Linked DNA regions of Rhinolophus ferrumequinum. The protein of the gene in region 2 interacts with the protein of the main gene of each other region in a pairwise test. Links are inferred from orthologs where the notes say so. Each region holds a gene or a part of one and is shown on either strand. Other genes may lie near its edges. The genes, in order: MAPK1IP1L, TFG and CSTF2.

The links.
Region 1: the proteins of TFG (region 2) and MAPK1IP1L interact in binary tests that used the Homo sapiens proteins (3 or more experiments, as listed by UniProt). The two-hybrid records come from large-scale screens. The link is inferred for Rhinolophus ferrumequinum from reciprocal best matches to the Homo sapiens genes TFG and MAPK1IP1L.
Region 3: the proteins of TFG (region 2) and CSTF2 interact in binary tests that used the Homo sapiens proteins (3 or more experiments, as listed by UniProt). The two-hybrid records come from large-scale screens. The link is inferred for Rhinolophus ferrumequinum from reciprocal best matches to the Homo sapiens genes TFG and CSTF2.

The regions. Positions count from the first base shown.
Region 1 is NC_046289.1:38,248,183-38,251,931, forward strand, and holds the start of MAPK1IP1L (MAPK-interacting and spindle-stabilizing protein-like), read right to left. Parts: upstream 2,933-3,749; 5' UTR 2,335-2,932; intron 899-2,334; 5' UTR 844-898; intron 1-843.
Region 2 is NC_046285.1:29,840,559-29,844,307, forward strand, and holds the start of TFG (protein TFG), read left to right. Parts: upstream 1-1,419; 5' UTR 1,420-1,669; intron 1,670-2,974; exon of another isoform or gene 2,975-2,992; intron 2,993-3,749. UniProt on the Homo sapiens protein: Plays a role in the normal dynamic function of the endoplasmic reticulum (ER) and its associated microtubules. Required for secretory cargo traffic from the endoplasmic reticulum to the Golgi apparatus.
Region 3 is NC_046284.1:53,627,773-53,631,521, reverse strand, and holds the start of CSTF2 (cleavage stimulation factor subunit 2), read left to right. Parts: upstream 1-992; 5' UTR 993-1,046; coding exon 1,047-1,104; intron 1,105-2,180; coding exon 2,181-2,259; intron 2,260-3,075; coding exon 3,076-3,245; intron 3,246-3,749. UniProt on the Homo sapiens protein: One of the multiple factors required for polyadenylation and 3'-end cleavage of mammalian pre-mRNAs. This subunit is directly involved in the binding to pre-mRNAs.

The DNA.
Region 1 (3,749 bases), on a different chromosome or scaffold from region 2:
AAAGAAATCACTTTTTAACAGCCTCATGCCAGCTGTATTTTCTATACTTATTCAGATACTTGTTGGAACATATGTACTATGCACTGTTTTGTGTTTTGGAGAAATGGATACCGTGTTTCCCCGAAAATAAGACCCAGCCGGACCATCAGCTCTAATGCATCTTTTGGTGCAAAAATTAATGTAAGACCGGGTATAATATAATACTGGGTATAATACAATATAATACCGGGTCTTATATTAATTTTTGCTCCAAAAGACGCATTAGAGCTGATGGTCTGGCTAGGTCTTATTTTTGGGGAAACATGGCAGTATTGCATGGAATAAATACTTAAGGAGTTGACAGTCTGGTGAACTACCATTTAAACAGTAACTTGGGGTAAGCAGAGGGCTCTACGAAGTATCTCCAAAAGCTCCTAAAGGAATCAGGAGAATTAGGGGAGGAATCCTGAGAAGTGGTGCCTTTGCAGTCTGGAAGAACAATGAGGAAAGAGCTGGAAGTACGGGACAGTGGGATAGGCCTTAGGTAAGGCCTTTGTGCAAAAGCTGCAAGGGAGGTGAGAGATGCTCTGTGGGCAGCGTAGGCAGGTCAGATTGTTTGGAACATAGAAAGGGGTGTAATATGAAAGCCTTAGCAGAGAGCCTTTAGACCAAGATTTGAACATCTTAATCAGCTCATCTGAATGAACGGGCCAGTAATGTGAGAGACTAAATGGGACTCGTAAATCAAGTGCTTGTAATAGTGCTTGGAATATAGTTAGTGGGCAACAGACATATTCTAATCTTCTTTTGTGTATGAGCATATAGCATATGGTTAAGAGAGTGAACACGAAAAGTATGACTCACTAGACAAACAGCAGTTCTTCACTGGCTGGCTCTGGACAAGCTGAACTCTCCAAACCTTAGAGGTAGAAGTAGACAGGAATAGTATCCAGCTCACAGCTACCGCTGTGCGACTTACATTATATTCTTATAAACACATCTTTCGGTCACTGCCTGGCACATAGCAAAAACTCAACAAATGTTAGCTTTTACAACTGCTTCTGTAGGTTCACAAACCTTCATCTGCAGTTCTCAACCCAGAAACTTCTGAAAGTCAAAGAAACGTTCTCAAGTTTGGCATAAAACTTACTTGGCGGCAAAACCTGACCTAAGGCTATTTATAGTTTCCATTAATTCACACCTATTGCTGCAGATATGAATGTTGGATTAGGGGATGCTGCCCCCACACTGCTGGGGTGTTATCTGTCTATGCACTTTTATCGTCTTTCTAACATCTAAAGATAAAATTCAAAGGCTTCTGAAATTCAAAACACACTGGTCCCAAGAATTTCGGTTAAAGGAAGGCTCTCTATTCCCCCGGGAGAGAGGAAAAGGACATGCCAATATTCGCAACTCAATTCAAGTTTGAGACAAACTAGTTTTGAACAAGAGGTTCAGAGACACTAGCAGCAAGAAAACTTTGTTTTTCCTGCCCAATAAACACTACTGAACAAAGAACTTCTGAAAGATTTCTGAAGACTACCTTCGCCTGTAGTAAGGGTTCGTTTTCAAAACAGGCCTTTAAAACCACCAGGTGTACGTGTATTTCTTTAGTAGTAATGCCATAAAAAATTTTTTCCAGTCAGGTGACTATGATTCGATGCTTCAACATTTTAATCTTTATTAAAAGCACTACTCTTGGTTTTCAAAGAGAAAATGGGTTCAGCTATTTCTAAGCTACCATGCATAACATAGGCTCCTAAATCCTAAAAAAATAGAGTATTACCGAACTCAGTAGTTTTTGTCATGGGTTTCATGTAATGTATTTGCTAGCAACTCTAGAAATAATGATCAGGACGTTGTCACACTGCGGATAATCTTAAACAAGGGTCAACGATTTCTGTAAGAATCTCTTCGGGCCTGGCTCTTCCCTTTTATTAGAAATTAATGAATGGGAGATGTCGGGGCCGAGGATCTCGTGGTCGAAAGCTCTTTAGGGCCAAAAGGAACAAAGACAATCCGGGACCAACCGGAGCGAACCGGCCGCGGAGCGGGTCGCTCTCGCTCGGGAAGGGGTGGGGGAAGGGCCGGGCCCTCCCTCCGCCCCGCCGCCCAGCCACGCCTGACGTCAGGCGCGGAGAAACCCGTCGGGAGCGACGTCACCAGGCCCTGACGCCTTCTCCCTGGGGGGCGATCAGGGGACAGTCCAGACCCGGAGGAAGATGACGGGAAAAACGTTTAGCCCTGGCCCCCGAAGAGCGACTCGAGGCACCCCCGTGACTGCGCCCGCCCTCCCGCTCGGGCGCGCTTCCTCGCCCGCTTCCACGACCCTTATTACCGCCGAAGAAGCCTCACCCGGCAAGATGCGAGCCCACAGCAAGGTCTAGAAGCGGCGATGGGTCCGAGGGAACAGGTCGCTGAAAAACCGAGGCAGTTTGACTGACAGCAGCGGCGACGGCGACGACGGCAGCAGCAGCACCAGCAGCAACACCAACAGCGCGCGGCTCCTCCTGGCGCCGGAACAGGAAGCGCCCAACTCGGAGTTCACCGCCCCCGCCAGTGCTCCCCCCGCCCCCCTCGGGGCCGGGCCGTGTGCGCCCCCCGCAGGCCCTCGGTGGCACTGCGGCTGGTCAGGTCTCCGCCGTGTGGCTGCTTCTCGCGCTCGCCCCTTGGCGGCTGATTTCTCCCGTGGGAGAGAGGAAAGCTCCCCGGTTTTCCGGAGATCTGAGCACTCAGAAGAAGCGCCTGTGGCTGGTGACGTTCTGGGCAGCCTGGTGGAAATTGCTAACTTGTTCCCTGGAGTGGCTGGAGGGCAGCTTCTGGATTCCCTGTGCTCAGTGGTTTTTACAGCCAGGCCTCGAAGTTGGCTGGGTGTGGATGCGGCCCAATTTGGGGACGTGGACCCTTGGGCTAAAATTGGGGGGAGCTAAAGGAACAAGACGTTTGCGAATGGCTTGGCAAATTGAAATTAACTAAAGGAACAGCTGTCTTTGCATATTTTTCCTGATCAATGCCTCTTCTACGTTCATCTTTGAACAAACCTTTAAGTATGTACTGTGTCAGGCCTGAAAGATTGACACATGGCCCCCGACACCAAGGAACCTGCTAGCTAGTAATGTTATAATTATGTGGTGTGCAAAGACATATACATATGATACGCACATTTTATCTGTAAAAGTATGCAATATTCTTACATTTTGCTTCATGTAAGCTTTTAGTGGGTCAATGGGTGGATATTTTACTAAACTTCTTAAACGAAGACGTCTCTGAATATGCTCCACAGCACACATAATCCTCATCCTGAAAAATGAACTATAGTGTAACTTCAAATACCTAAGCCTAGAGAAAACAGATTTTTGGATAAAAGCAATGGTCTATGAAAAATGATTAGTGTGACCGACCTAACCTGCCCTCAGGAGGCAGTGAATCAGCAGTGTCTTGTGGAGCCATAAGGAAGCCTGAGGCAAAAAGAAAAGTCAGTAAAACAGTGCTATCTTTATTTAAACTTTTTGTTTTTTGCTCATAGGTTTCCTTTTGTTGTTTTTTTTGCATTCTGGTTTTAATATTACTTTTCATTACTGAGTTTTTTGGTCAAAAATTTTTTATGCCCATCACCTTAATCCTGGTCATGGGTATCAGAGTGACTGATGTCCTCCAGCTTTTCCCATGTTCCCAGCCAATAACAGCATGGTGGGAAATTCCAGTTAGGTAGGTCATTCCTGTCCCATATGTACTCCTACAGGGAACCTTTGCTTGGGAACTAAATCCTC
Region 2 (3,749 bases):
CCCAATTCCTCCCCAAGGACACCCATGGGTGCCTCTCTTCCTAGCTTCCAGCTGGCCCCAGTATAACAGGGACCCGTTTATTTCTCCTCAGTGGCAGGACTCTTGAGTGTGTGCCCCTTTCCTGGGAACTTAGAGAGAGGAAATTCTTTCCCCTCATTCCAGGCTAGGGTTTATTCCCTTAATTTCCTGCCCCAGGAAACCTCTTTTTAGGAAGATTGAGAATGATATAGTTATTTTCCTTCGGGGAATATTTTACCTCTGCCAATTTTTGAGTGTTTTTATCCAATCTCAAACCAACTCAAAGACATCAGAATACCATAATTGGACAGCAATTTACTTCCCCAAACCTGGATTACTCAATTCTAAATAACAAGCAATGAACAATTTTGGGAGAAAATCAGGAACTTTTTCCATTCCTTCTAGCCCTTCGCTCCCCAATTCCTGCAACCAATTGCTCAAAGAGCAATACAGAGTGTTGTAAAATACAATTCAGAGGCTAAAAGCATTCTAACCTCACATATTTCCCTCTCAAAAAGATTTGTTCAGAGACTCATGACTGCAAAAAGATCACACTATTTATGGTATTAAAAGAACATGAACCTAATTCAATTTACCCCAGGCCTTTCTTTCTGTTGAACAACTATGGGCCAGATTAATTTGAATTGTTTTTTGCTTAGTCTCTGTCTTATAAGACAAAAGTTGCTTGCAACTTTTAAAGTAGCGCTCCCTACCCCCAAATTTCACCTCCCCCCAAAAAAATGTAGGGTTCAGTCTGAGTCAGGGCACTTTTTACATACACACACGTATTCAAAACAAATGTTTTAGGTAAGAGAGAGGAGTATGTAGTGCACACTCGAATACCTTATCTTCCAAAAAGGCTTCTAGGATACTTCATCAGCCTTTATTTCCCAGCCTTTACCCATTCATAGGTTTGTCCTGTCACGTAAACGCCATTGTAAACTTGCTCACAAACCGATTCATCCTCATAGTGCTCGGCAAGGAGTAGGCGTCCAAAAATGAATGAATGAGTTTGTAGAAAAGCGGGAAAAAGTTTAGTTTTTTTTCGAGATATGACGAAGAGAACTACAAGGGTCACAAAACAACAAGACGCAAACTTGGATACATGCCCACTTTCAATCGGCTCTCAAATAGATTCCAGAACAGTAAACTATGCTCCGCCCACGAACGAGAGACGTGAAATAGTGTACACGCTTTCAGAAAAACCGGAAGTTCCTGGTCATGCCGCGCGCACGCGTGCATGCGTTCAGCTCGCACTTACTACACTTGTTCCTCCAGTGACAGAGCAGAGACTCCGGTCGACGTCGGCCCGGAACTTGCCCGCCCCGCGCCCCCCGGCGTTGCGCATGCGTGCTGGGGTGGCCTGCTCGCTGTGAGGCGGGGCGAAAGGACAGATTTTTTTTTTTCTTGCTCCCGCCCCTCTTCTTCCCCCACCTGCCACGTACTGGGCCCAAGCTCTCGCTAGGCTTAGTGGGTCTGTGCGATTGGCTGGGTCCCTCGCGAGCCTACGAGGGAAGTGCGGCGGCTGCGGAGGGCAGCCGAGTGGGCCGTGACCGTACCCTCTCTACGACGCCCCCAAGCCCGGCAGCCTTGCACCAGTCCGGCCAGCGGAGACCTGTGGAGAGGCGGCAGCAGCGGCCTCGGCAAGCCGGTATGGCCGCTGGAGACGGGGGCGCGGCCGCTCTCAGACAAGGCGGCCAGGAGACAAGGAAGCGCTGGGAGGGCCTCGCTCGAACCGGCGGGCGCCGGGCATAGGGGGCCAGAGGGGCCGTGAGAGGGGGCTGGAGGCCCGAAGGAGGGAGGCCGGGTGGGACCTCGCCTAGGGGAGGAGAGGCCACAGCGGGGAGAGGAAGGGCATCACACAGGCCACGGAGGCGGGTGGGCTTTGGGGGTGGTTGGACCATCACGCGCTCTCGCGCTTATTCCGCCTGGCTCCAAGGGGTCGGAATGCTGGACGGAGAGGAGAGGTGATCGGGGAGGCCTTGGGCGCCTAACCGCCATAGGGTCTTGCAAGGGTGAGAGGGCGGAGAATGGCGCCAATAGGAGTAAATTGATTGGGGTCACTTCAGGGGAACCTCGTTCCTTGGCTATGTCAGTGCTTTATCAAGCGCCGTCTGCAGACCCAACCCAGTTTTGTAGTGAGGATGATAGCTAACTCTTAGAGTTTACTAGGCACTGTACAAAGTATTTTAGATGCATGATCTTATTTAATTATTCTAAGGCTCCTTCCAAATTTAAATATTATTCCCATTTTGCGTTTGATGCCTAAGGACACGTGACTAGTAGTGGGAATCTTTACGGTCTTAACACATTGCCTTTGGTTAGGCAGAATCGGAGGCTCCTTGTATTCTTTGGAATAAGCAGGGGTTGATTTTGCTTAGAATTTCTTAAAGGAAATTGCTACCTTCCTGACGTGCCCAATCACACCCCTGTGATTTTGAGCAGGGACCTACCCACAGGGTTAATCTAGCTGGAGGTTTGGCCACAACCTAGATCCTGGTTCAGGATGCAGGCTTCTTATGTGTCCTTGGGCATGTCACTTTATTCTCTAGTGCTGAGAACAGTGTTCCTATTGGAAGATTTCCTTAGTGGCTGTGTCATTTCTGGACTTTAGAGGGAGTGAGGCAAGGACAAGATGGGAGGAGAAACTGCTGTAAGGATCTCACCAGCACTCCTGGTAACTAGTAGTTAGAGAAACAGAGGCCCTGAATTTTACTATTACATTGTATAAAACAATGGGGATGGATGGGATTTCCCCTGGAAGGGAAAATTCTGTGGTACGATTCGTTTTCTGATATTTGTGCATGCCTTGAGGAGATAACTGCACAAACTGAGGACAGCCTTTGGAAAGAAGCCCTGGTTCCTCGCCCCAGGGAATTGAGTCAATGGGAAATGCTAAAGAATAAGTGAGTTTGCAGGCAAACATGCCGATACGAAGTGAAAGAGACTCAGACTCGTGTTTTCAGATCCATTGGTGAGCAACAATCCTTCCACAATCAAAAAGACATACATACTATCAGTAATATTCGATGTTGGAAATTTCTTTTAGGAGTATGTTGGCTTTCGGGAGTCACTTCTAGCTTATAAAGAAGGTACATTGTGAAGGTCTGACTTAGGAACTGACTAGATAGTACAGCTTTCTTCTCCCAGTTGGTTTATCAGAACTTTATTATTCCTCATTCATCTCTTGTTCAAGGAACAAAAAACAAGTCCTTGCTTGCTATATGTCAGGCTCTATTCTCAGTGTTGCTGAGAGTAGATAGTACCATTTTGCTGAAGCTAAGCCTTGGTCCTTAACTACTTTATTGCTGATTTACACAACCTGTAGATAGTAGAAGGTGACACTGATTGACCGGAGTTCTTTATTACTCTCAGACTGCAAGGCAAACAAGGTGGAATCTTCATCATCTTGTTGAAGTAATTATACTTCAGAGCTTGGCATAAGTACGTATTCAGTAAATTTTTCCTGAATAAAGGTCAGGATAGATTAAAGGTGAAGAGGTTGTATGGAAGTTTAAGTTAATCACAGCCTTCATGAGAAGTCCGTTGTGAGAATTTGCAAATAAAAACCCTGACTATTCTTATTTTACATGAAGGCGAGCACAGCATCCAGGTTATGGAGCACAATCCATTCTGTTATGAACTGACTTTAGAGTGTTAGATTCAGTGTTTATTGCCCCATTTATTGATAAAATGTAATCTGTTCAGAGGATGGGGAAGGGGATTTAGAG
Region 3 (3,749 bases), on a different chromosome or scaffold from region 2:
TTAGGAAATATTCCTTGCACACACCTCCTCTTTTATAACCAGTAGAGTAGGGTTGGTTGATGAAATGATAGAACCAACAGTAAGTTCTCCACAGATGATTAATCGCAGCAGAACAAGCTCTGGCTAAGTGCTTCAACCTAGTCTTGGGTGGTTTATTATATTGTGAGTCATTGACCCAACATCCTCAGGTCACATGCTCTAAGTTCTTTTCCAGCAATGGTAATATGTTGAGCCACCCATATTCTCTCAGTTATCCTGGGAGGCAATAAATACAGCAGTAAGCGTTCAGTCTCTGGAGCCAAAGCAACCTGAGTTCAAATCATGCTTTAGCTGCTTGTTGTGTACCACCGGTCAATGATGTTTCCTGTTCTGATGTTTTCTGAAACCCTGCCGGCCAATGTCCTCGGCCACCCCGCCCCGCCCCGCCCCCATTACCAGAAACATGGAGCCCAGGGGCTAGACCAGCGTAGACGTGGGTCTGTTCTCCCTTTACCTCCCCATCTGCTCAGCTATGTTAACGCCTTAACGTTGAGTGCCCCTCACTCTCTTATTCTCTAGGCTGCTGCGATTTTCTTTCCCCATCGCACTCCGTAAACTCACAGTATTTGCAAAATGACAATGTGCACGCCGCTGGGGCGCGGCCAAGCATTTCCCTCCCCCAACAGGGCGTAATTAAAATGAAAGTGCCATGGTTGTTAGCAAATGACTTCTCTGTTACTATGGTAAAGCCACTGCTTCCATCTTTATTGTGGTCGACAATTACTTGCGTTAGCCTAAGTAAAACATGAACAATAAAGGCTTCAAATTAGCCTGGGCCTACCCGAATCCGACCGTGAACGACAGGCGGCAGCCCTGCCCGGAAGGGTTAATGTTCTCTTGGAAGTAACGTGCGCGGCCTGTGACGGAATGACGCCAGGGGAGGGGGCCCTGCGTCCGCCGGGCCAGGTGTTTCCGGTTCACGCACAATACGGAAGCCTGTTGGGCGCTGGAGGCACGCGCCTTACGGAAGAGTGCCCTGGCGCACCGGAAGCCTCGGGAGAAGAGCGATGGCGGGTTTGACTGTGAGAGACCCTGCGGTGGATCGTTCGCTACGTTCAGTGTTCGGTGAGAGGAATTCGGTGGAACCAAGCATGGGGAAGGGACAGAAAGAGGCAGTGAGCGGCGAGGAACGCCCCCTGCATCTCATGAATCGACGCGGGAACCGGTGATGGGGCCGGCGTGCAGCTCTCCCTGCCTCCTGTGCGGCGGGCAAGCTGGTGGACTCGTGGGCAAAGGGATGCTCCCCTTACTCCGAGGTTTTGCAGCCCTACCACGATGTGGCTGAGGAAGTTAAACTAGCGTTCAACTTCTATGCGTTTCTCCTTTCACGAGCTTCAATTTTCTAGAAGCGAATGCGCATGGCAGCTGTCCCCTACTACTTCTCATCCCCTCTCCCAGAATACAGATTATGTGCTGGGATCCTTGTGTCCACTTCCCGCTCGCTCCTAACGACTTTAATCCTCTGCTTTTAGCCCGTAACATTTTAGTTCGTTGGTAGTGGTAGCGGCAATCTGGCGTCTTAAGGTGGATTGTAAATAAATGAATGAATGAACGATTAAGACCTCGTCGAAGAAATTTTAAAGAGGATCGAATCTATTCTAAGGAATCTTTTCAGCCGAAATAAGTTGTGTTTTTAAAGTATGTGTGGTGATTTTAAATCACTTTTTGGAAGGGACATGACAAAACACTTAAGAATAATTATTAAACATCTTCCACTACTTCCACGATCATTCTCCTTTGAGTGTGTGTGGGGGGTGGGGGAGTAATCCGGACATATGAGCCGGTTTTAAGAATTAAAATGTTGCTATTTTTAGTAGTTACTGATAAGACGTGCAGCCCTTCAGGTAAATAGCAATGCCTAAGTATTTTTCACCAAAGTTAAGGAAAATCCAACACTTGTCAGATCAGTCTGAGAATTGATAAAGGTGTTTAGAAATGTCTACACCTTTTGTATTTAGTTTCAGTGGTTTATTTCTCTTGCAATTAAAGTTAGCCGGCGAGATTGAAATCTTGGAACTGGGATTGGAGGAGCACTGTATTTTGAGCAAGTTGTCACATTTTCTGATATAAATAGGTACTGTATTTTCTTAATAAAGATGTAGGTTACAAACTCAGAATTTTAATGTTACCTATTTTCTTAGTGGGGAACATTCCATACGAGGCTACTGAAGAGCAATTAAAGGACATCTTTTCTGAAGTTGGACCTGTTGTTAGTTTCAGGTGAGGTTCCTTTTCACTACCTGGTGGGAGTTTCTTTAAAAATCATCACAAAATTTGGCCCTTAGTAATTATGACAGGGTTTATACTGGTGACTTTTCACATGCATTCTCCTTTGTTTGTTTGTTTGTTTGTTTGTAACAGCTTCATTGTGATATAATTCACATACCATGCAATTCCCATTCATTTTTACTAAAAGATAGATTTCTTTAAATGTATGTGGGTATGGGCAGGTGGCATTCAAAGTGCATGCCATTTTCAAATATGCCCAGACTTCTACTCTCCGCTAGGCACTTTTGTGTTTCCGATGCACGTGTTCAGCTTCAGGGTCAGCCAGGTATGTGTAACTGGTTTGGGTTTCCTGCAGAATCTGCTGCATGTGCTCATAGTCAAGCCAAAAAAAATATGCTCTCTCCAACAAGGATTACAACCTCATGCTAGTGGAGCTGTGAGCATTCCCTACTCCACCGCCCCTATAATTGTTACTTCTACAGACAACACTGCTGGGTGAAGGCTTTTCCCACCACACCAAATTGCGCAAGCCCCTTCACTAGTCACAGAGAAGTTACTGGTCGTTATGACCTGTCCTGCCCTGGAAAATCTTCTTGTCAACTGAGCTGGGGGAGGGATTCATTTTTTTAAAAAAAATGTTTATGCATGTCAACTGTAATTGGTAAATTAAAAAAGAAGTGTTTAAAAAATATTTCAGTGAGTGATAAGGTTATTTGTCTTACAGTTGACCAAATTGGAATATGGCAATGTTAGCAGGAACCCTGTGTGTATGTAACATTTGTGCCTATACTTGGTTGTGCTCTCCAGGTTGGTATATGATAGGGAGACAGGAAAGCCAAAGGGTTATGGCTTCTGTGAATACCAAGACCAAGAGACAGCACTTAGTGCCATGCGAAACCTGAATGGGCGTGAATTCAGTGGGAGAGCACTTCGAGTAGACAATGCTGCCAGTGAAAAGAACAAAGAAGAGCTGAAGAGTGAGTATAAACCCAAGTTGTATGCAACACGAGTTAGTAAAGATGTAATAATGAAGATTTTCCATTTATGATATGTTTTAGCATCTGCTGAAATGGTTACCCACTCAGCTTCTTTACTTGACCCACCTAAGGTGTTTGCGTTAGGGAAGTGTATATCTTTGAGAAACAAGGTAAAGTTGACTTTAGAAGTCCTTCAGTTGCCAAGGAGTTGATTCCAGTTGAAGATGAATTCAGGCTCACCAAGTGATTAGTGCTAACTAGGTCGTTGGTGTTTGCCACTCCTGTAACTATGTGGCCAGATCTGTATGTGGTGGGGATATTAGCATTCTTACGGCTTTTTTTTTTTTTAATGAGGTTTATAGATCCAGGAATTCCATTTTGATATTAGCATATTTTTCTGTTTAAACCTTTTGCTTCTGAAATGGCTTGCCAAAGAAAGTTAATGTGCCTAATCCCTAATTTAGGTTAACATTGTCCACCTATGTGATCCTGGTCCCAGCTTTA